5 linked regions of the Macaca fascicularis genome follow. The protein of the gene in region 1 binds, or shares a complex with, the protein of each later gene. Links are inferred from orthologs where the notes say so. Each region holds a gene or a part of one and is shown on either strand. Other genes may lie near its edges. The genes, in order: XPO1, PKIA, E3 SUMO-protein ligase RanBP2, XPO5 and RANGAP1.

The links.
Region 2: the proteins of XPO1 (region 1) and PKIA are in contact, whole or in part, in an NMR structure (PDB 2L1L), measured with the Homo sapiens proteins. The link is inferred for Macaca fascicularis from reciprocal best matches to the Homo sapiens genes XPO1 and PKIA. Residues at the interface, in NP_003391.1 of Homo sapiens: Val518, Lys522, Leu525, Cys528, Glu529, Lys534, Lys537, Ala538, Ala541, Ile544, Phe554, His558, Lys560, Phe561, Thr564, Lys568, Phe572, Glu575, Thr576, Val580; in NP_006814.1 of Homo sapiens: Asn36, Leu38, Ala39, Lys41, Leu42, Ala43, Gly44, Leu45, Asp46, Ile47, Asn48, Glu51.
Region 3: the proteins of XPO1 (region 1) and E3 SUMO-protein ligase RanBP2 are in contact, whole or in part, in a cryo-EM structure (PDB 9B62), measured with the Homo sapiens proteins. The link is inferred for Macaca fascicularis from reciprocal best matches to the Homo sapiens genes XPO1 and RANBP2. Residues at the interface, in NP_003391.1 of Homo sapiens: Trp60, Val63, Asp64, Leu83, Asn97, Gln98, Gly101, Ile102, Lys104, Tyr105, Val107, Gly108, Ile110, Ile111, Leu134, Phe149, Asp152, Ile153, Gly155, Ala156, Ser157, Arg158, Thr159, Ser160, Glu161, Leu163, Cys164, Asn167, Leu208, Phe211; in NP_006258.3 of Homo sapiens: Val2508, Val2509, Ser2510, Pro2511, Pro2512, Lys2513, Phe2514, Val2515, Phe2516, Gly2841, Phe2842, Gly2843, Ser2845, Thr2846, Gly2847, Leu2848, Ser2849, Phe2850, Ala2851, Leu2853, Ala2854, Asn2857, Ser2858, Gly2859, Asp2860, Phe2861, Ala2862, Phe2863, Gly2864, Ser2865.
Region 4: XPO1 (region 1) and XPO5 share a complex: the UniProt entries of both Homo sapiens proteins name them as parts of the nuclear export receptor complex. The link is inferred for Macaca fascicularis from reciprocal best matches to the Homo sapiens genes XPO1 and XPO5.
Region 5: the proteins of XPO1 (region 1) and RANGAP1 are in contact, whole or in part, in a cryo-EM structure (PDB 9B62), measured with the Homo sapiens proteins. The link is inferred for Macaca fascicularis from reciprocal best matches to the Homo sapiens genes XPO1 and RANGAP1. Residues at the interface, in NP_003391.1 of Homo sapiens: Lys245, Ser248, Thr249, Tyr252, Lys253, Glu281, Gln282, Val284, Thr285, Leu289, Met292, Gln293, Gln296, Arg340, Asn342, Leu343, Lys514, Val518, Ile521, Lys522, Leu525, Glu529, Arg532, Lys534, Lys537, Ala538, Ala541, Met545, Phe554, His558; in NP_001265580.1 of Homo sapiens: Ala2, Asp5, Ile6, Leu9, Ala10, Thr12, Leu13, Ala14, Thr16, Gln17, Val18, Ala19, Gln22, Leu23, Ser24, Phe25, Lys28, Glu44, Arg55, Ala561, Thr564, Lys565, Pro566, Ser568, Glu571, Ser572, Ser574, Phe575, Arg577, His578.

What each region holds. Positions count from the first base shown.
Region 1 is NC_088387.1:60,389,901-60,393,410, reverse strand, and holds part of XPO1 (exportin-1), read right to left. Parts: intron 2,187-3,510; 5' UTR 2,181-2,186; coding exon 2,055-2,180; intron 1-2,054. UniProt on the Homo sapiens protein: Mediates the nuclear export of cellular proteins (cargos) bearing a leucine-rich nuclear export signal (NES) and of RNAs.
Region 2 is NC_088382.1:88,302,058-88,306,362, reverse strand, and holds the start of PKIA (cAMP-dependent protein kinase inhibitor alpha), read right to left. Parts: upstream 2,807-4,305; 5' UTR 2,678-2,806; intron 1-2,677. UniProt on the Homo sapiens protein: Extremely potent competitive inhibitor of cAMP-dependent protein kinase activity, this protein interacts with the catalytic subunit of the enzyme after the cAMP-induced dissociation of its regulatory chains.
Region 3 is NC_088387.1:16,208,396-16,212,392, reverse strand, and holds the start of E3 SUMO-protein ligase RanBP2, read right to left. Parts: upstream 2,801-3,997; 5' UTR 2,712-2,800; coding exon 2,640-2,711; intron 1-2,639. UniProt on the Homo sapiens protein: E3 SUMO-protein ligase which facilitates SUMO1 and SUMO2 conjugation by UBE2I. Involved in transport factor (Ran-GTP, karyopherin)-mediated protein import via the F-G repeat-containing domain which acts as a docking site for substrates.
Region 4 is NC_088378.1:127,992,349-127,995,858, reverse strand, and holds part of XPO5 (exportin-5), read right to left. Parts: intron 1,716-3,510; coding exon 1,618-1,715; intron 710-1,617; coding exon 663-709; intron 256-662; coding exon 158-255; intron 1-157. UniProt on the Homo sapiens protein: Mediates the nuclear export of proteins bearing a double-stranded RNA binding domain (dsRBD) and double-stranded RNAs (cargos). XPO5 in the nucleus binds cooperatively to the RNA and to the GTPase Ran in its active GTP-bound form.
Region 5 is NC_088384.1:10,364,318-10,368,543, reverse strand, and holds the end of RANGAP1 (ran GTPase-activating protein 1), read right to left. Parts: intron 4,024-4,226; coding exon 3,902-4,023; intron 1,578-3,901; coding exon 1,508-1,577; 3' UTR 506-1,507; downstream 1-505. UniProt on the Homo sapiens protein: GTPase activator for RAN. Converts cytoplasmic GTP-bound RAN to GDP-bound RAN, which is essential for RAN-mediated nuclear import and export. Mediates dissociation of cargo from nuclear export complexes containing XPO1, RAN and RANBP2 after nuclear export.

The sequences.
Region 1 (3,510 bases):
TTTAAAACAAACCATTAAATTTCTTAATACTATGAAACATTATTAAAAGCAGTATTACTGTAATATATTCTCAATTATAAAAATTACCACTAATTCTGTTATAAGCCATGAAGAACACTGCTCTGTTGGTTTATTTATCATACCTTTAGATGTAGTGAACTAGCTTAGTGCAAAGATTAAATAGTATTAGTAGCTGAATCTATGTGGAAAAAATTAAATGCCTTTTTCCCCAATGGCTACAGACCTGTGCTTCCAATATTATATTCAAAATTGAACCCAACCTTACTTTCATAGCTTCCTCCAAAAGCAGCTGTTTTCTATGCATCCATGCTAGAAGAAATGAAGCTTAAAGCTTCATATTGAATGTACAGCATGAGTAACAACTAAATGACAGGGATAATAAATACTGACGGATAATTTTTTCAAGAATGCTTTTGGAGATAAAGTACTGATCAAAACGCCCTAAGAGTATAAACCCGGACTAACAAGCTTACAGAATCACTGCAGAGTAATGTTTTCTGCTTTTAGAGCTTCCACAGCCCTTTTTCAAGTTTCCACTATAGTGAAAGCAGTATTGTTAGATTCCACAAGGGAATGGAAACATTTATACATGATGCTTTTTGGACTACCTATAAAAGATAGTACTATATGCATCTTACATGTTTTCAAAAAGTGTAATGGCACTCAGTTTCTTAATTATGCAAATACAAATATCTTGACAATATAAGTAACCTCATATCTATTAGCTGAACATTCATCTAACCAGAAATCTACTGTTCTGGCAACAAAACTACCTTAAAAGATTTCTGGACAGGCGTGGTGGCTCATGCCTGTAATCCCCACACTTTGGGAGGGCAAGGCAGGCGGATCACGAGGTCAGGAGATGGAGACCATCCTGGCCAATATGAAATCCATCTCTACCAAAATACAAAAAATTAGCTGGGCGTGGTAGTGCGCCGGTAGTCCCAGCTACTCGGGAGGCCGAGGCAGGAGAATTGCTTGAATCTGGGAAGCGGAGGTTGCAGTGAACCAAGATTGTGCCACTGCACTCAAGCCTGGTGACAGTACGAGACTCCATCTTAAAAAAAAAAAACAAAAAAAAAGATTTCTGACCCAACTGCAGAACTTTTTACTCATTCAAAAACATGTTTGGGCTGGCGTAAGGTGGCTCATGCCTGTAATCCCAGCACTTTGGGAGGCCGAGGCAGGTGCATCACCTGAGGTCAGGAGTTCCAAGACCAGCCTGGCCAACATGGTGAAACCCCGTCTCTACTAAAAATACAAAAATTAGCCAGGCATAGTGGCGCGCGTCTGTAATCCCAGCTAGCAGGGAGGCTGAGGCAAGACAATCACTTGAACCCAGGAGGCAGGGGTTGCAGTGAGCCAAGATCATGCCACTGCACTCCTGCCTGGGACACAGAGCAAGACTCTGTCTCAAAAAAAAAAACAAAAAAAAAGTTTGGCCCCACAGGTAAAAAATCAAGTTTTTTTTTTCTTGTGACACATACAATTTAAAATTTTACACACATTTCTGTTTCACCTTTTCGTTGGGTTCAAAAAAGCGAAAAACTTAAACTGATCAAAGCATGGTTTATGTTCAAGATAATTCCCTACATTAACAGTACCACTTAGAAAAGTGTATGAAATTCAACTAACATAAAAATACTTGGTATTCCTGTTTTTAATTAAACAAACATGTCTGTGAAGTACTTCTGTAAATGTTTTAAAAGTAGAAGAATCATATTAGCTCCAAACATATTAAGTATATATAAAAGTACAGAGAACCTTTAATACCTACAAAGTATTTAATAACATTCGGCTCTTAAGGACAGAACAAGTATAAGAATAGTATTTCAAAACAACCCAATGTAACCATATCAAACATTATGCAATTTTTTTCTCCAAACCAATTCTCATTATGGTTAATATAGAATTCCAAATTAACACAAACTATGGAATATCTTTTTTAAAGGTGATAATTTAAAATTTTATTCTAAACCCAACAACTCTGTTACACTGTCAAAATGTTATAAAGTTTTCGTTGGTTACTTTACCTGGGCTCCTTCTCCATGGTATAAGCAATTCACCACATTATCTAATAAGTTGATATCCAGTTTTTGGCTGAAATCGAGCAGCTGACGAGCTGCATGGTCTGCTAACATTGTCATAATTGCTGGCATAGATTACTGAAAATAAAGAAAAAACATTGAAGCTGCCTATGAAGTTTTGGAATTATCAGAAACTTCCTACAAGTTATTTTACTTCAACCATGTTATTACAAATATTTTAATGAATACTTTAGAGACTTTAATTACAAAAAACAGAAAGTAAAAGCCAGTAACATAAGCTGAAATTACTTAGCTATTTGATAATTACATAAATTATTATGGTCCATTCAACTTTTCTAGTGTTTTGTTTATACACCAGAAAGACTCCCCTATTCTACTAACATTTATAAAGTATGCTAACCTATTATTTAAATGCATCCACTATTAGGATTTTATGGTCCTAAAACATGATACAGTTCAGTATCTTGATGTCCAAACTTCTTAAGCAAGTAGGATTAAGTTCAAGTGAATGTGTTTTTCTTTTCTTCCCAACTAGGGTCTTCTGGATAACTCAGTAAAAGCTCACTTCACATTATCTTAACTTTATAAAAATAATTCTATAAAGACAGAATGGGCTGAGCGCAGTGGCTCACACCTGTAATCCCAGCACTTTGGGAGGCCGAGGTGGGCGGATCACTTGAGGTCAAGAGTTCCAGACCAGCCTGGCCAACAATGGCAAAACCCCATCTCTACTAAAAATAGAAAAATTAGTCAGGCGTGGAGGCAGGCGCCTGTAATCCCAGCTACTCAGGAGGCTGAGGCAGGAGAACTGCTTGAACCCAGGAGATGGAGGTTGCAGTGAGCCAAGATGCGTCACCCCACTCCAGCCTGGGCAACAGAATTGAGACTCCATCTCAAAAAACAAACAAAAAAAGACAGAATGACGTTAAAAATCAAAATGTGGATATACAGTAATTCCTATCGTCTACAGCAATGGTTAGCAGGAACCACAAGTCTAACATATCTTGGTATAAATCCCCTTAGCCTCTACAGAAATAACTTAGTTTCTACACTCAAACCATTCAAATTGTTTCAACCCTCAATGAATTGGGGGATTGAAATTACATCTACAATCATATTTACTGAATATATAATCTAGGAAAAAAAACTTTACGGGCAATATGCCTAACAAGATTCATTGGCAAGTTAAAAGCTGTAAAAGCCTGCCCATTCCCAAATAAAAAAGAATTCTAAGAGAAAAATGAGCTACTTCGCCAAAATATGTACTGGTTAAAACCTACTAGTTCATATGCAACGCTATCCTTTTAAGAGGATTCTACTCTAAGATGCTGGCACACATCCAACTTTTTGTTGCCCAGAATTATAAAAAATATCTTTCCTCTGCTTTTCTTCAAAGCCAATGCCACTCAAACCTAACTGGTTAAGTCAGTAGTCCTTAACC
Region 2 (4,305 bases), on another chromosome or scaffold:
GGGCAACTTTGACTCCTAAATTTTTACTCTCTAAATTTCTGGTAACACTGCCTAGCAGACTAAACTTTTTTTTTTTTTTTTTTTTTTTTTTTTTTTTTTTCATAAACACAATTGGAAAGCAGTAGATTGACTTCAGTTCTATCTTGTCAAACACAAAAATGCCTGCAGTTCATTTAGTATCTAGTCATTTAGCATCTAATCATGCACATCCTTCCATTTTTCATTCCTCTTTCAATTCTGAACACCAGCCAATTAGTTTTTCCTCTCCCTAGGAAACATTTTAAGGAAAGGAAATAAAGTCATAAATCAGTTTCAGACATAAAATCATACATACATTTCTGCTTAGGCTTCTAAATTTAGAAACTTTCCTCAAACTTGTTTAAACATAACAAAGTCCAAATTCAGAAATCCCTTCAGTTTGATTATCTTCCTCAGTTGTACTAAAATGAAAATTAAATTTTCTAACTTGTTTTCTTCTTAACAAGATTTCTCCAACTCCAATTCATAAATTGTTGGGTTCAACTCACCTGCAAAATCACTAGCAAGTATTATTCCACCGTAGGCAGCACCAGTCTCCTAATCCTGAAACTATTTCCTGCCAAAGAGTTTTGTTTCTTCAGAAAGTAAATGATAGACACTTCGAATTTCTAACCATCATTAGGATATTCTCACGCACTTGCTCTTCAACAGAAAGGTGACTGTCAACATTATAGAAACTGCATTGTATTTCTAAGATCAATTGTACTAATCTGCATGTCATATACCTTAGGTTTATTTAGAATAATTATATTAAAATTATTCTTCTATATTAATATTTATTATTCTTCAGCATAATGATGTATATGGTTAAGTATTTTAATACTAGAAAAAAGGTGGTAGAATAGAGGGTTTTTTGTTGATCTTGTTCTTTGTTACCTTTTAATGTGACTGAGTAAAAATTCTAGAATCTCAAGAAGTTAATATTCCAAACCAAAACCCTATTTGACACATAATAATAACAAAAAAGGGACCTGACTGACCCCAAGGGACAGTTCCTGGAGTGGGTCACTCAGTAGTGGGCTTTGCCCCCCCCCCCACACACACACCCTATGCCTCATATACTGAAGATGGAGACAAAGAAACAAATTCAAATATTTCGAAAGTGTATTTTGTAAAAAAAGAAATTTGCAATCAGAAAGGCAAGAATGATATATAATATGATTAACATGATTTTCCATACTAGTATCTTTGTTTAAAAATAATAGTCAAAGAGGAAAATAAGCAGAGGTAAAATTTTAAGCTACCAATTCTGCCCCTCTTTTTCATTGATCTTCTAATTTAATTTACTGAAATAAAATTGCATGGCTGTTGAGTCAGTCTCTCTAATTTCAAGTTTTAAAGATAACAGATCTCCCTTTAAATAGAACATTGGCACACAGATACCCCACAATCTGGCTTATTGCAACTGTTCTCTGTTGGTGAAGTGGCAGCACGTTTGCAATCCCCATAACAGCCATCTTAACCATTTCACAGCATATTATTCAAATGTACATCTCTAGGTGGCAACAAGGATAGGCACTTGGGCTCAGTAGCAAGGGGTCTGTAGGGAAAATCCTAGGATGAAGGATAGGAACCTGCAAATGGCAAGACAAACTAGAGGATACTCAAATAACCAGGGGCTTAGATTGGGCAGCTCCATTGGCTTTCTGACTGCCTACGGGGAAAGCCTCACTGGAAACTCTTTTGAGGTTATCGAGGAATCCTAGAGGCAAACGGACTCCCCTACCTTTTAGAAACGATTTGTCCCAAATCTTAACAGTTAGCTGTCTCAAAACCCAGCTGGACTAAAATTGCTTCAAGAAAAACTGGATGGACTGGCATTCACATTTTTACTTCTACCTATGCCTATGCGTAGGGAACATCCCTCACACTCCAGTGGATTCTATGTGTCCTCTCTAGCTTGCAAGTAGCCACAGTGACTACAGCGAACGGAGTTAATGGGCTACCATGTTGGTACAGGGCTACAAACAGGATATTTCATTCCATGCATTTGGGGGAAGGACACAGGTAACAGTATACAGGTAGAATACCGAATAAGAAATCTGTGTGAGGCAATGCCCTTTTTGGGACCTTGACAAAATCAGTCATGGAACCCAGGTAGCGGATAAGAGCTGACAAGAGTTGGCCTGTGAATGGGCACAGCATCTCCGAAAAAGATCAATGAAATGATTGACAGAGAAAATGGCAAATGAAGGGAGAAGCGATGTCAAGTGCTGCTCAACCCAAGCTGAACTCCAGGAGATAAGAGAAGTTTCCCCTCCAAATACAGGCTCTTTCTAAAGGTTCAGTCTTGAAGCAGGTGTTTTGACATTGAGAGGGGCACAGAAGGAAGAGAGTAATTCAAATTATTTTACATTTTGAGTCCTCTTCACTGTCTACGCGAATCTGGCACTGAAATGGTAGATCACGTTCAAAAGTGTATAGAGGCAAGAACGCCTTCTTTGTTTGCCCAGTAACACTGCTCCTCCAACCTCTGCACTTGGTCTCCTAACATTTCCATCCTAGTTGCTGCTCCTTTTCCCATTGCAGAAAGCAGTGGGGTTCTCCCCTTCTTCCCTCCGAGCTGCAAACCCCATTATTAACCAAGCGGAAAGCTCCACGCAGTGTGGCCAGGGAGCACCGAGGCTGGGCTGCTTACCTTCCCCGGACCTAGTCAGCGCAGGTTCCCGCGCCCGCCGCCACGGGACGGAGTCCCGCCGCGCCCGCCGAGTGCTCGGTCAGCTCGCTCCGGCCCGCGCCCCACCTGCCAGCTGCAGCCGTCGCTCCCGCCGCGGAGCTCTGGCCGCATGAAGTCATCCCCGCCCCGGGCCGGATCACCACATTCCGCGCCAGCCGCAGGGGGAGCGGGGCCGCTCCCGACCCCACGGAAGGCAGCCTGAAACTGGCACCCAACGATCGCTGCCCCCCCGAGGTTGTGGGTTGGTTTTCTGTTAATGCTTTTACAGTTGCAGCATTGCTGGATTATGGACCGAGAGAGAAGAGCCGGGGGGAGGGGGGGGCTCTCTCTGCATAGCGTCCTTCCTCTGAGCGCTCCCCCATCACCCCGGCTGCATGGACTGCTCCATTCGCCAGTGTGGGTTTCCCACCCTCTTCATCTTCCTTATCAGCATTGTTCATTTGGCTGAATTTGAGAGCAGGAATTGTCTTTTAAGATAAACATTCAAGCACTACAAGAACATTTTAAATTGGTAATGAAGCTTTCTAAGCCCTTCATAGCTGGCTCCATCACCCGCCCCCCCCAACAGACACACATGCACACACGCACACACATACACGTACACACACAGCCCAACCACTCACAATTTTGAAAGCTAGAACCTTTCGTCTACGTAATAGAACGGGAATCTCCCAAAAGACTGGAGAAGTGGGGCCAACCGGAGAAAGTGCTCAAAGAAGCAGCAGGGTGGCCCCATGATTTTGTTGTGTTTATGGTGCACTTGTGCACAGATGTTCCCTCTAACATCTCTTCCTCCTATTCCCTCTGCTCTGGACCCCCTCCCTTCCCTGCCACATAATTGGACAAACCGTTGTGGTGACAGCTGTAACATTTGGAAATCAAAATGCAGAATCTACATTAGCAGATGACTGTATCTCTTTCTTTCCCTAAGGATTTATGAAATTTGCCTTGGGAATGAAACAAGCGTGTGTTCATATAAGCCCTTATTAACAAGATTGTTCTCTCTCCCCACCCCACCCCCACCCCCACCCCCACTCCCACCCCCACCCTCCACTTTTGCTTCTTTCCCAAATCTTTTCTGGTGTGAGGGTTGAATGTTTAAGGAAAAATGAGCCTAAATTTGCTCTCTTTGTAGCTGAGCCAGGGATTCCCCCTAGCTGTTGAGTAATTTTCTAGCAGGGAGGTTCCTTGACACTAGGGTTCTGTGGAATGGAGTTCCCTCTTTTAACTTGCCTTGCTGTTCGAATTGACCATCACTTGATACAGGCCAGTTTTACACTATAGATTTGTCCAGCAACCTAAATAGTGCAATTGCACAAGGCCAGGGAAGCACCTTTGCTAAATGAAATGTTTCTATCCATCAGTCCAAAAGTTAGGTAGTAATGTAGCCAAGAGCTTTCCAAGAAAACTTAGAATTCTTGGCCATAGAATGTATGCTCTTTGAAAGTTAGAACAGCTTAATTCATCGCTCTGAGACTCACTTTCATAACATTAGGTCATTAATATTATCATAGAGCAGGAGATTCTTAATCTGTATAAAAGGGGTATATGAATAGAATTCCAGAGTGTGGAATTTGGATGGGAAAATT
Region 3 (3,997 bases), about 44 Mb from region 1:
AATGACTTTCAATTTGTTTGGGGGAAAAAAAATATTCTTTAAGTGTAAAGAGAGAAGTGGTCATAACAATGAATCCTCAAAATTTTGCCACCACTCCACTTTATTTAATGGAAAAGTTATGTAGTTGAAAGAACATTCTAACTTCTGTCTAGACCAGTGGTTTTTAATCTTTTGGAAGCCAAGGTCCCCCCTAAGAATCTCAGAAAGGCTCTAAGCTTGCTTTTTTTTTTTTTTAAGCTTGTTTAAAAAAAAAAAAAAAAAAACAGGCTGAGCAGAGTGGCTCACACCTGTAATCTCAGCACCTGGGGCCAAGGCGGGAGGATCACTCGAGCCCAGGAGTTGGAGACCAGCCTGGGTAACATAGTAAGACCCCGTCTCTACATTAAAGAAAAAAGTTAGCCGGGCATGGTGGTGCATGCCTGTAGCTGGCATGCCTGTAGTCTCAGCTACCCAGGAGGCTAAGGTGGGAGAATGGATTGAGTCCAGGACGTCAACGCTACAGTGAGCCATGATCCCGCCACAGCACTCCAGCCTGGGAGATAGAAAGAGACCTTGTCTCAAAAATAAAATAATGGATGTTGCAGTGGCTCACGCCTGGAATCCCAACACTTTGGGAGGTGGAGGCAGGGAAATCACTTGAGCCCAGGAGTTCGAGAACAGCCTGGGCAACATGGTGAAATCCAGTCTCTACCAAAAATACAAAACAAAACAAAAAAAAAACAAGCCGGTGTGGTGGGTGCACCTGTGGTACCAACTACTCGGGAGACTGAGGTGGGAGGACCGCTTGAGCTGGGGAGGCGCAAGTTGCAGTGAGTCGAGATAGCGCCACTGCATCCAGCTGGGTGACAAGAGTGAGTGAGACCCCACCTCAAAAAAAAAAAACCATAAAAATTAAAGTCTTTAATTTCAGGAGTTACTGGAACCCTCAATAAGGTCTGTTTTAGACTCTATCACCACGTTCATATTTATGACTACGCCAGCAGTTTGAAATTACAATGTACAAGTAGGTATCTATTCCTCCTCTCTGGAGGAACAGGCTGTAACTTACTCCACTGTTCCCAAGAGAAACTAAATCAGAACCACTGCCAAAATTCTGCTGCACTTCCTATTTGACCCTGAACAGGTATCTTTAATCTCTACAGGTCTCAATATCCACAGGGCTGCTGGAAGCACAAAATAAGATAACCTACACTTAGTTATGATAAAAGACACAATTGTGCTGCTATTATAATCATGGTCATCCGTGAGTTTCCGTTTGTTTTTTTGGTTTTTTTGTTTTTAATTTTTATTTTTGATGGAGTCTCCCTCTGTCGCCCAAGCTGGAGAGCAGTGGCACGATATCGGCTCACTGGAACCTCCGCCTGCCAGGTTCAAGCGACTCTCCTGCCTCAGCCTCCGGAGTACCTGGGACTACGAGCGTGCGCCACCACGCCCGGCTTTTTTTTTTTTTTTTTTTTTTGGATTTTTAGTAGAGACGGTGTTTCAACATGTTAGCCAGGTTGGTCTCGAACTCCTGACCTCAGGCAATCCGCCCTCCTTGGACTCCCAAAGTGGTGGGATTACAGGCGTGAGCCACCGGGCCCCGCCAATATCCTTTTAACATCAACAATAAAAACAGTGACTTGTAGCTAACATTCAGTGCTATGTATCAAGCACAACCCTAAATGTTTAAAATGGATCCTATCAAATTCTATCAATGTTACAACTCCACCTATGGATGGAAAGTGCAACTGGCCCCAAATACCCAGCTTATGAACGACAGGGCTGATTATTCAAGCCAAAGCAAACTGACTCAACATTCTGTGCACATCCACCTTTAATAGCTTCTTCCGTCACTCTTTAGATCCAATTGCTAAAGTCTTACTGAATCCAAAACAGATCACATTATTTACCTATAAAGAGGAAAAATATCCTAAGAACATTTGTGGAAAAGGTTAAAAATTGTAAGCCATACTAACGATTTATAAGAAATTTATAATTTTTTTTTTTAAAGCAAAAGCACCTACCAAACTGTTCTGGGGGTGGGGGAGGTGAGTATGAGGAGTGGAGCTGGACCCTTATAAAGGGACAGCGACAAACATCTCATACTCAAAACAAGGGGACTTCGCGTGTCATTTGCGCCGTCGGGCCGTTGCAAACGTTCGCGCTGAGATCCCTACGTTGTCACTCGTCACAGCCGCCAAAGCGCACCCGGGAGCTGCGTCAGTCCCCACTGGGTTCCCCCAGGCCAAGGAGGTACGACCTCCGCCGCAACACGTAAAATGTCCGGGGGATGGGAAGAATCCCGCCGACATAGCACCCGGGTGCCCAAGCCCCCCGAGAACTAGGCCGCGCGGGTACTACGCGGCGCGCGACCGGCCAGAAAGCCCGGGCCAGGGCGGGCCCACGAGCGAGGACCGTCGGGAACAGGCCGGGAGAAAGAGGAAGCGCCGGCGCCAACGGTCTCCCGCCCACAGCGGTCCCCCCAGGGCTCTCCCTGCGCTTGCCAGCGCCACGCCGCCCACAGGACCGCGCTAGCCGGCCGGCGCCTCAACAGTGCGCGCCAGGGAGCAGCGCCCGTCGGGAGCCATGACGCCCGAGCCTCGCGAGGCCGCCGCCCGGCCAGGTCGAAGCCGTCGGTCTCTTCGAGATCCACTCACCTCTCGAGGCGACGGGGCGGAGCCCTGCACCGAGGCGATGTACCGCTCCACGTCGGCCTTGCTGCGCCTCATCGCGCCGCCAACCTGGCTCCCGAGGCGCGGGAGACCAGCGCTCAGCCCCGCAGCAGTCGCAACTTCCAAGAGGAAAGCGCCTGCAAACCAGTGACGCAGCGACGTCGCCGGCGGAGGACCATCCCGACGAACTTGCGTACTGCGTCAGCACTGTGCGCCACGTTGGCGACGTCGGCGCTAGAGCTGCACACAGCCGGGCTCTTGGTAGCTCCCTGGGTTCTGAGCGGTGTCTTGGGAAGCCGGGATCAGATTTCGGCCCCCGCGTCCACAGCGTGGGGGTAGATTTCCAGCAGATAACAATTTGCGTGATGGGCTCTTAAGCGTTTTGGTCGCTTGTTCTAAATTATAAGTGCGCCACGCATTGGAAGAAAAAAGCACTCAGGCCAAGTTGGTGAGCGTGTAAATTGGAACAACGTTTCTGGAGATGACTGGTTAAATACGTTGCATCGGACGTGTGAATACTAAAGTATACATTTTAAAATTCGTATTTATTAAAAGAAATGAGGGCCGGGCGTGGTGACTCACGCCTGTAATCCCAGCACTTTGGGAGGCCGAGGCGGCCGGATCATGAGGTCAGGAAATCGAGACCATCCTGGTTAACCCAGTGAAACCCCATCTCTACTAAAAATACAAAAAAAAAAAAAAAAAAAAAAATCAGCGGGACGGGGTCGCACGCACCTGTAGTCCCAGCTACTCGGGAGGCTGAGGCTGGAGAATCGCTTGAACCTGGGAAGCGGAGGTTGCAGTGAGCAGAGATTGCGCCACTGCCCTCCGCTTGGGCGACAAAGCAAGACTCCGTCTGAATTTAAAAAAAAAAAAAAAATTGGCTGGGCGCGGTGGCTCAAGCCTGTAATCCCAGCACTTTGGGAGGCCGAGATGGGCGGATCACGAGGTCAGGAGATCGAGACCATCCTGGCTAACACGGTGAAACCCCGTCTCTACTAAGAAATACAAAAACTAGCCGGGCGAGGTGGCAGCGCTTGTAGTCCCAGCTACTCGGGAGGCTGAGGCCGGAGAATGGCGTGAACCCGGGAGGCGGAGCTTGCAGTGAGCTGAGATCCGGCCACTGCACTCCAGCCTGGGCTACAGAGCGAGACTCCGTCTCAAAAAAAAAAAAAAAAATTTAGAATTGCATAATGAAAAAGTAGGCCACAAATACTAAGTTTTGGACAATTACAATTTTTTAAAGTCATCCCTTGGCGGGGGATTGGTTCCAGAACCACCGGTTTATGCCAAAACCCACGCATTCCGCTGGGCGCGGTGGCTCACGCCTGTAATCCCAGCAC
Region 4 (3,510 bases), on another chromosome or scaffold:
TTGGCCAGGCTGGTCTCGATCTTTTGACCTCGCAATCCACCATGCCAGGCCGCAAACATGAATCCTTTGCATTAGTCAGGCCTTCGTGGAGTTGGCTGAGTGACCAGCTCTTTTCCAGGAAAATTCTCTATAGCCCCAGTTTCTACTTGCCACTTACTGATTAGGTCCATGACTTCTCGGGTTAACATCCTCACCAGTTGTTCCTCCAGCATCTCTTGAGACTCTGGGTTTTCATCTGCAGCCTCATCTTCTCCACTGCAGAAAACCAGAGGGCCAAGTTCCACAGGAGTGCAGAAAGAAAGCAGTGACCCTAATCAGACTCTCTGTGACCACTTTCTTCGAGTCTTCGTTTTATGCAAAAGTTGGGAATGGACAGCAGTGATCCACTGAAGGACATTATTACTAGTGATTCTGTCCAGTTGGATAGACATTACAGAATCAAAATAAGTGAGTAAGGTAACAGTAGCCCCTATAAAGGCTGGATCTCAGTCTGCCTGCTGGTCACAGCCTGTCCAGACAAGCCATGTATCACCTAGACTGAGAATGACTACAACCTACTGCTCTTCTACCCTGCGACAGCAGAATCCCTGCCCGCTTCCTTTCCCCACCCCAAATCTGGCTGCCAGCTCATCCACCAAGAAGAGTGGGTAGGTATCCCTTACCAGAGCAGGCTCCTTTGGTTGATAACTTGCCATTTCTGGGAAAGCCTCTGGGAAAACACAAAGGAAATAAATGCTAGAATTGGGGAAAGGATTGGAATACATAGTATCTAAAGTCAAGTCCACTTCATGATTAAAGTTAGCCAAGGATGATTCTAGACATCAACGACAACCTCTGTAGACTCCACACCACAAGGTTAAAAAAACCATCTATGGGCCGGGCGCGGTGGCTCAAGCCTGTAATCCCAGCACTTTGGGAGGCTGAGACGGGTGGATCACGAGGTCAGGAGATCGAGACCATCCTGGCTAACACAGTGAAACCCCGTCTCTACTAAAAATACAAAAAAAACTAGCCGGGCGAGGTGGTGGGCGCCTGTAGTCCCAGCTACTCGGGAGGCTGAGGCAGGAGAATGGCTTAAACCCAGGAGGCAGAGCTTGCAGTGAGCTGAGATCCGGCCACTGCACTCCAGCCTGGGCAACAAGAGCGAGACTCCGCCTCAAAAAAAAAAAAAAAAAAACCATCTATGGTTTCTATAACCTGTCCCACATCCATGCTGAGGGTGGTATCTCAAACACTTCTTTGCTTGGAAAGAATTAACAATTTTAGAATTCCTGGGTCTCCCAGCCAGTCCCCTGTTTAATTCCAGAGTCAGGATAACAGACCTAGCATTCCTGGCAAGGGTCTGTGAGCAAGCATTCCTCTTTTTACCTTTCCTCAGTTAACAGGAGGTTAGGAGCAGAATCTGCAACTGAAGCTGCCTTGTGGCAATTAAATCAGTTTAGTTCTTTGGGAGCTGCTCGATCCTACAGCAAGGATAGTCTGCTGGGGTAGAAGCTTTGCCCAGCCAGTCTGGCAGGGCTAGGAGACAACACTTCTAGGAGCTCCTGACTTGCAAGGGTCAAAAATGGCCACAGGCCTTAATAGTACTCTTTGCTTCCTGTTCCTGACTTATCTTACCATATGGAGGTAGGTGAAAAGAGGTCCGAGGATGGGGGATACCAGGGCTTCATAGTGCTCTGGGGGACAGAAGAGCACCAGAGGCTTTACAAAGACCCGTGCTGCAGCAAGTTAAGAAATTTTAGTGCATAAGTACACATCCCTCACCTGTCAGGTGGTGGGCTGCACCCCTGGGCACAATCAATCCCTAAAAGATTTACCAGATGTCAAAAATATCCTGTGTTAACAGTGAAAAATCTTAAAGTTCTTTTCCTAAAATCCTAAATGGCACTGATATTCAATTCCATTATACTCTTAGTTTAGCAGGACTTCCGTCAGGCTGCACATTATGGTCCCTGGCCAGAAAGTAGGAATAAAAAAATAGGAAGGAGGACATCCTTGTAACAAATCCTCCTTCACCATTCTCCTTATAATTTCAGGTTTAAGAAACACTCAGCAGCTGCGGTGGCTCACACCTGTAATCCCAGCACTTTGGGAGGCTGAGGCAGGTGGATTACAAGGTCAGGAGAGCGAGACTATCCTGGCTAACATGGTGAAACCCCATCTCTACTAAAAAATACAAAAAAAAAAAAAAAATTAGTCGAGCGTGGTGGCGGGCGCCTGTAGTCCCAGCTACTCGGGTGGCTGAGGCAGGAGAATGGCGTGAACCCAGGAGGTGGAGCTTGCAGTGAGCCGAGATTGCGCCACTGCACTCCAGCATGGGCGACAGAGGGAGACTTCATCTCCCAAAAAAAAAAAAAAAAAAAAAGAGGAAAGACAGAGATTCAACTAGTAATAGGGGTCTGAATGAGAATGAAGTGTGAAAGTGCTTCTTCTGGCTGGGTGTGATGGCTCAGGCCTGTAATTCTAGCACTTTGGAGGCTGAGGCAGGATTATTTGAGCCCAGGAGTTTGAGACCAGCTTGGGGAACATAATGCAGACCCCATCTCTACAAATAATAATAAAAAAATAGCTGGGTGTGGTGGTGCACATCTGTGGTCCAGTCCAAACTCCTCAGGAAGCAGAGGTGGGAGGACCACTTGAGCCTGCAGTGAGCTTTGATAGCACCACTGCACTCCTGCCTAGGTAACACTGAGACCCTGTCTCAAAAAAAAGCAAGTGCTTCTAGGCCGGGCGCGGTGGCTCAAGCCTGTAATCCCAGCACTTTGGGAGGCCGAGGCGGGTGGATCACGAGGTCAGGAGATCGAGACTATTCTGGCTAACATGGTGAAACCCCGTCTGTACTAAAAATACAAAAAACTAGCAGGGCGTGGTGGCAGGCGCCTGTAGTCCCAGCTACTTGGGAGGCTGAGGCGGGAGAATGGCGTGAACCCGGGAGGCGGAGCTTGCAGTGAGCCGAGATCCAGCCACTGCACTCCAGCCTGGGAGACACAGCGAGACTCCGTCTCAAAAAAAAAAAAAAAAAAAGCAAGTGCTTCTAAAAACACAGAAAAGGGATAAAAGTTTTATGTTTCACAGCTGGGCATGGTGGCTCATGCCTGTAATCCCAGCACTTTGGGAGGCCGAGGCAGGCGGATCACTTGAGGTCAGGTGATGGAGACCAGCCTGGCCAACGTGGTGAAACCCTGTCTGTATTAAAAATACAAAAATTAGGTTGGGCACGGTGGCTCACACCTGTTACCCCAGCACTTTGGGAGGCCGAGGCGGGCAGATCACTTGAGGTCAGGAGTTTGAGGCCAACATGGCGAAAACCTGTCTCTACTAAAAATACAAAAAAATTAGCTGGGCGCAATAGCATGTGCCTGTAATCCCAGCTACTTGGGAGGGTGAGGCACAAGAATCACTTGAACCCAGGAGGTGGAAGTTGCAGTAAGACAAGATCGTACCACTGCACTCTAGCCTGGGCAATAGAGCAAAACTCTGTCTCAAGAAATAGAAATATGCACGCCTGTA
Region 5 (4,226 bases), on another chromosome or scaffold:
TTTCACCACGTTATCCAGGATGGTCTCAATCTCCTGACCTCGTGATCCACCCTCCTCAGCCTCCCAAAGTGCTATGATTACAGGCATGGGCCACCACGCCTGGCCAAGGGACTTCTTCTTGGAGGCCATTTGTGGGGGACATGGGCTCCCCAAGCACACACATGGCATAGGGCAGGAGGTAAGGAAGGTTGGCTGGGCTGCCCTCACATATGTGGCAGTGGAGCAAAGGACCCCAAGGGAGGTGGCTGCCTTAGTGAAGGAGCAACGCAGGAGCCAAGAGAGCTGCAGCCCAAAGGCAGGGTGCTGGGTGAGGTGTGGCCAGGCAGGAAAATGGGTCCTCATTCAGGACTGCCACTGCCCAGGTGGTGGCCTGAGGCCGAGGCCGGGCCCTTCGCAGGGCTGACTGCCCTCACAGACTGCTGTGGCGCCGTGTGCTCTGCCGAGGTGGGACTCCACGTATGATGGCCCCCGAGACTATCCCGCTTTAGGTCAGAGTTTGAGTCTCTGAAGCTGTACACATGACTTTATTTGTGAAGCCCCCGGGCACAGCCCAGACACACACAGAACACAAAGGGGAAAGCATGGGGCAGTCACGGGCACGCAGGGAGGTTGTACAGCATCTGCCCAGTCCAGACCCCACTGCTCCCCTGCGCCAGGAGGTCCTTCAAGAGCAGCGTCCAGATACGGCTCGGACACTGGGGACCCTGCCCCTCCCTCCACAGACTGGACAACAGCTTTGGGTTGTCAACACACCCCCTCCAGCTTGGCCCCCAGGCCAGTCACAGACAACATCTCAGCAGCCAGGAGAGGGTCCGCTAGGTCCGGGGCCAGCGCAGTTCCAGCAGCTCCTGCTCCTGGACAATCTGGTGTCTGCCTGGCCACACGGCATGGGGCCCAGGGTTGCCCTCTGCCAGCAGCCCCATGATCCCACCCCCACAGTCCCACCCATGGTATTCTCTGCTCTTCAGGCTGAGCGCTCAGCACAGTGGCATGGATGGTAGGGAGGACAGCTGCTGCAGGACCAGGGCTTGGTGACGAGAAGCAGCCGCAGGCAGGACAGGAAACAGCCCAGTCACAACACAGAGGGGAAGGACAGCACGCGGGCAACTCCCTGGGCTCTGGCTCCGCCAGGGAGCCGGGCTGGAAGGCAGGTGGGTGGGGACAGCCATCAGGGCCCAGGTGGAGATCAGCAGAGCGCCGTCAGGTGAAGGTGAGTTTAATGGCGGAGCAGCTCACAGTCCTTTCCCCTGGGGGCCAACTCCCCACAACAGAGCAGAGCCAGGCCAGCAGAGAGAGGTTCAAACCCAAATCCCGACAGGAGGCACAGACCTGCACGCGTACCACACCTACACACATATTCAGGGGACTGACAGGACACACGGGACGCAGACCCGCCCTGCCTCTGACCAGAGTCCTGTCCAAGGCAACGGCGTGGGTTGTGCCTCAGTTCCTCCGAGTCCCTCCCCAGCTCACTGGTCCAGGCCAAGGGATGGGAGAGGCTTTGAGTCTAGACCTTGTACAGTGTCTGCAGCAGACTGTGGCGGGCAAAGGAGCAGGATTCCAAGGCGCTGTTGGGCCTGCGGGGAAAGAAGGGTCAGCAGGTGGGATGGATGCCTCTTGGCCCCCGTTTTCCAAGTGTGGGGGCCATTTTGGTACCAGACTCATTTTTGTTAATTTGCACAATGACTCAGCAAGGGAGACATTGCTGATGACTCAGCAAGGAAGACAGCAAGGGAGACTGCACGTTGTGGGTGGGGGTAGGAGGGGTGAGAGGTAGGCACCCAAGGCCACACAGCCCAGAGCTGGCCACAACACAGCCCCACCTCAGCCAGGCTCTTCAAGGGCCTTTCCAGCAGACATAGGCCAGGGAATCCTCACTGGCTGCCAGTGGCCTCACATGACTGGCCCACTAGAGTCCAATCTGGGTCATAAGTAAATGGCTAGCCATTGTTTTTTGGTTGTTTTTTTCTTGAGACAGGGTCTCTCTTTGTTGCCCAGGCTGGAGTACAGTCCTGGAATCACGGCTCCCTGCATCCTCGACTTCCCAGGCTCAGGTGGTCCTCCTGCCTCAGCCTCCCAAGTAGCTGGGACCACAGATACACACCACCATACCCAGCTAATTTTGTATTTTTTGTAGAGACGGGGTTTCACCAATGTTGCCGAGGCTGGCCTCGAACTCCTGGGCTCAAGTGATCTTGCCTCAGCCTCCCAAAGTGCTGGGATTACAGATAGGAGCCACTGCGCCTGAGCTCCCCATTGTTGCCCTCAATATCATTAGTTTCACTGCAAAGAAAGAAACTGAGGCAAGACTCTGGGGCACTGGGCAAGTGTGGGACGCAGCCAGGACCAGGCCTGACAACACCTCTGGCCTGTAGCTGATGAACAGGCCAGGATCTGCACCAGGCCTGGGATCCCAATTTGGCTGGGAGCTGAGGGAAGAGGGGCCGTGCATGTCACTACAGAGTTAATCCATCACCTCGGACGAGACCTGGGGGGCAGACTGAGGCCTGTGCTGGAGGTTGGGCAACAAGCTGGGAAAAGGCATTCTGCTCTAACAGGGCCGAGGGGCTCATGCCCAGACTTAGGACAGCACAGGGGCTGCCAGAGATGCAGAGGGAACCACTCTGACCAGGGAGTAGGAAGGACACAAAGGACTCAGGTGCAGGTACAGGGAGGGGCTGGGGCCACTGGCCAAACAAGCTCTGGATAGCGTGGACAAAGCTCGGCACCGCAGCAATGGCATTGCTGTGGAAAGGGGTTCAGGGGGCGCACACTGTGCTGGGGTGGGGTGGGGTGAGGGTGAGGCTGTGGCCAGCCACAAGATTCACAGTGAGGCTTGACCTGGCCCCTGGCAGAGGAGGGAGACAGTGAGATCTGCCATTCACCAAGGCCAGTCCAGCTGCAGCCCAAGGAGTGGTCTGGGTGGGGGGCACGCGGCCAGAAGGTAAGGCCTGGCTAAGGAGACAGCGCCGTGCGGACAGACACTCCAGACGCTGGGGTGGACAGGGCTGCTCACACTCCACCAGCCCCGCCTCCCCACATGCACCAAGCATCCTGCCTCGGCCGGTGGGCTCTGGGCTCCCCCAGCAAAGGGACTTTCTTGCTCCTCTACCTGCCCCACTTCCCCGGATGGCGCCGACTGACTGGAAGTGTGGCTGGTCAGGGTGCTTGGAGACAATTTCACCTAACCCTCCGGTTGGGCAAATGGGGAGACTGAGGCCTGATGAAGGCCACAGGTTGGCCAGGGGCCACACAGGGCCCCATGAGGGTGTACGGGGCAAGCCTCCCCACCCCTGGTGGGGCCTTGGCTCTGTTACTTGACTGTGCCCATCACCCCATCAATGCCCCAGGACTCCCCAGGACCATCCAGAACAAGGCCAAGGTTCCTACATTGCTGGGCATTTTGGCGGCTCCCGGGGCAATGTGTGTCCCCAGGAGAGGGCCTGGGGCTGCAGGGCCTAGTGTGACTGGGCCCCTTCGGCCTGCACTACTGTGAGCATGGACAAAAAGCCCCTCCAGAGATGTCACCACGCATAGCACCTTGCTCACAGACGTGGGTCTGGACACTGGCCCAGCCTCTTCCTAGTGTGTGACCAAGGGAAACTCTTTAACCAACCCGGTGCTCCTTTCCTCATCGGCAAAATGGGGGCGTTACATGTCTCCTCTCTCACTGCCCCTGAGCCCTACTGTCCTCAGCTAGGCAGAGGGGAGCGGGCCTCCCGAGGGTGGTGAGACTCCAACACAGATGCTGAGAGCCCAGGAAGCATGAGGGCCTCTTGTGCACCCGAGCAGGGCCAGCAGGCTGGCTGGGCTGGACCTCCTGGGACTGGAGGCCTTTGGACCTGGCCAGAGAAGCCTGAGAGGACAGGCCGCGGCAGAAGGACAACAGGGCCACACTCACTTGGTTATGAATGCCAGCAGCAGGGGTGCAAGGGCCTTGGGGAAATAGTCCTGCTGCACCATGTGGTTCAGTGCCATCAGGGGGCCGTACAGGTTGGCAATGGCCTTGACCTTATCTTCACTCTGTGAGGGGAACACAGCGAAAGGCGGGGTGAGCGTCAAGTTCACCTGGGCGGCCCCTGGACTCCACCATCCAGACTCTGCGGGCGGTGCTCACAACTGAGTCCAGCCGGAACCTCATCATGAAGATCGAGGCTGCTGGGGCGGACCCAGGCCTCAGGGCCCAGTGGGTGAGACGGCTCAGGACTCGAGGTGAGGGAGGCTGG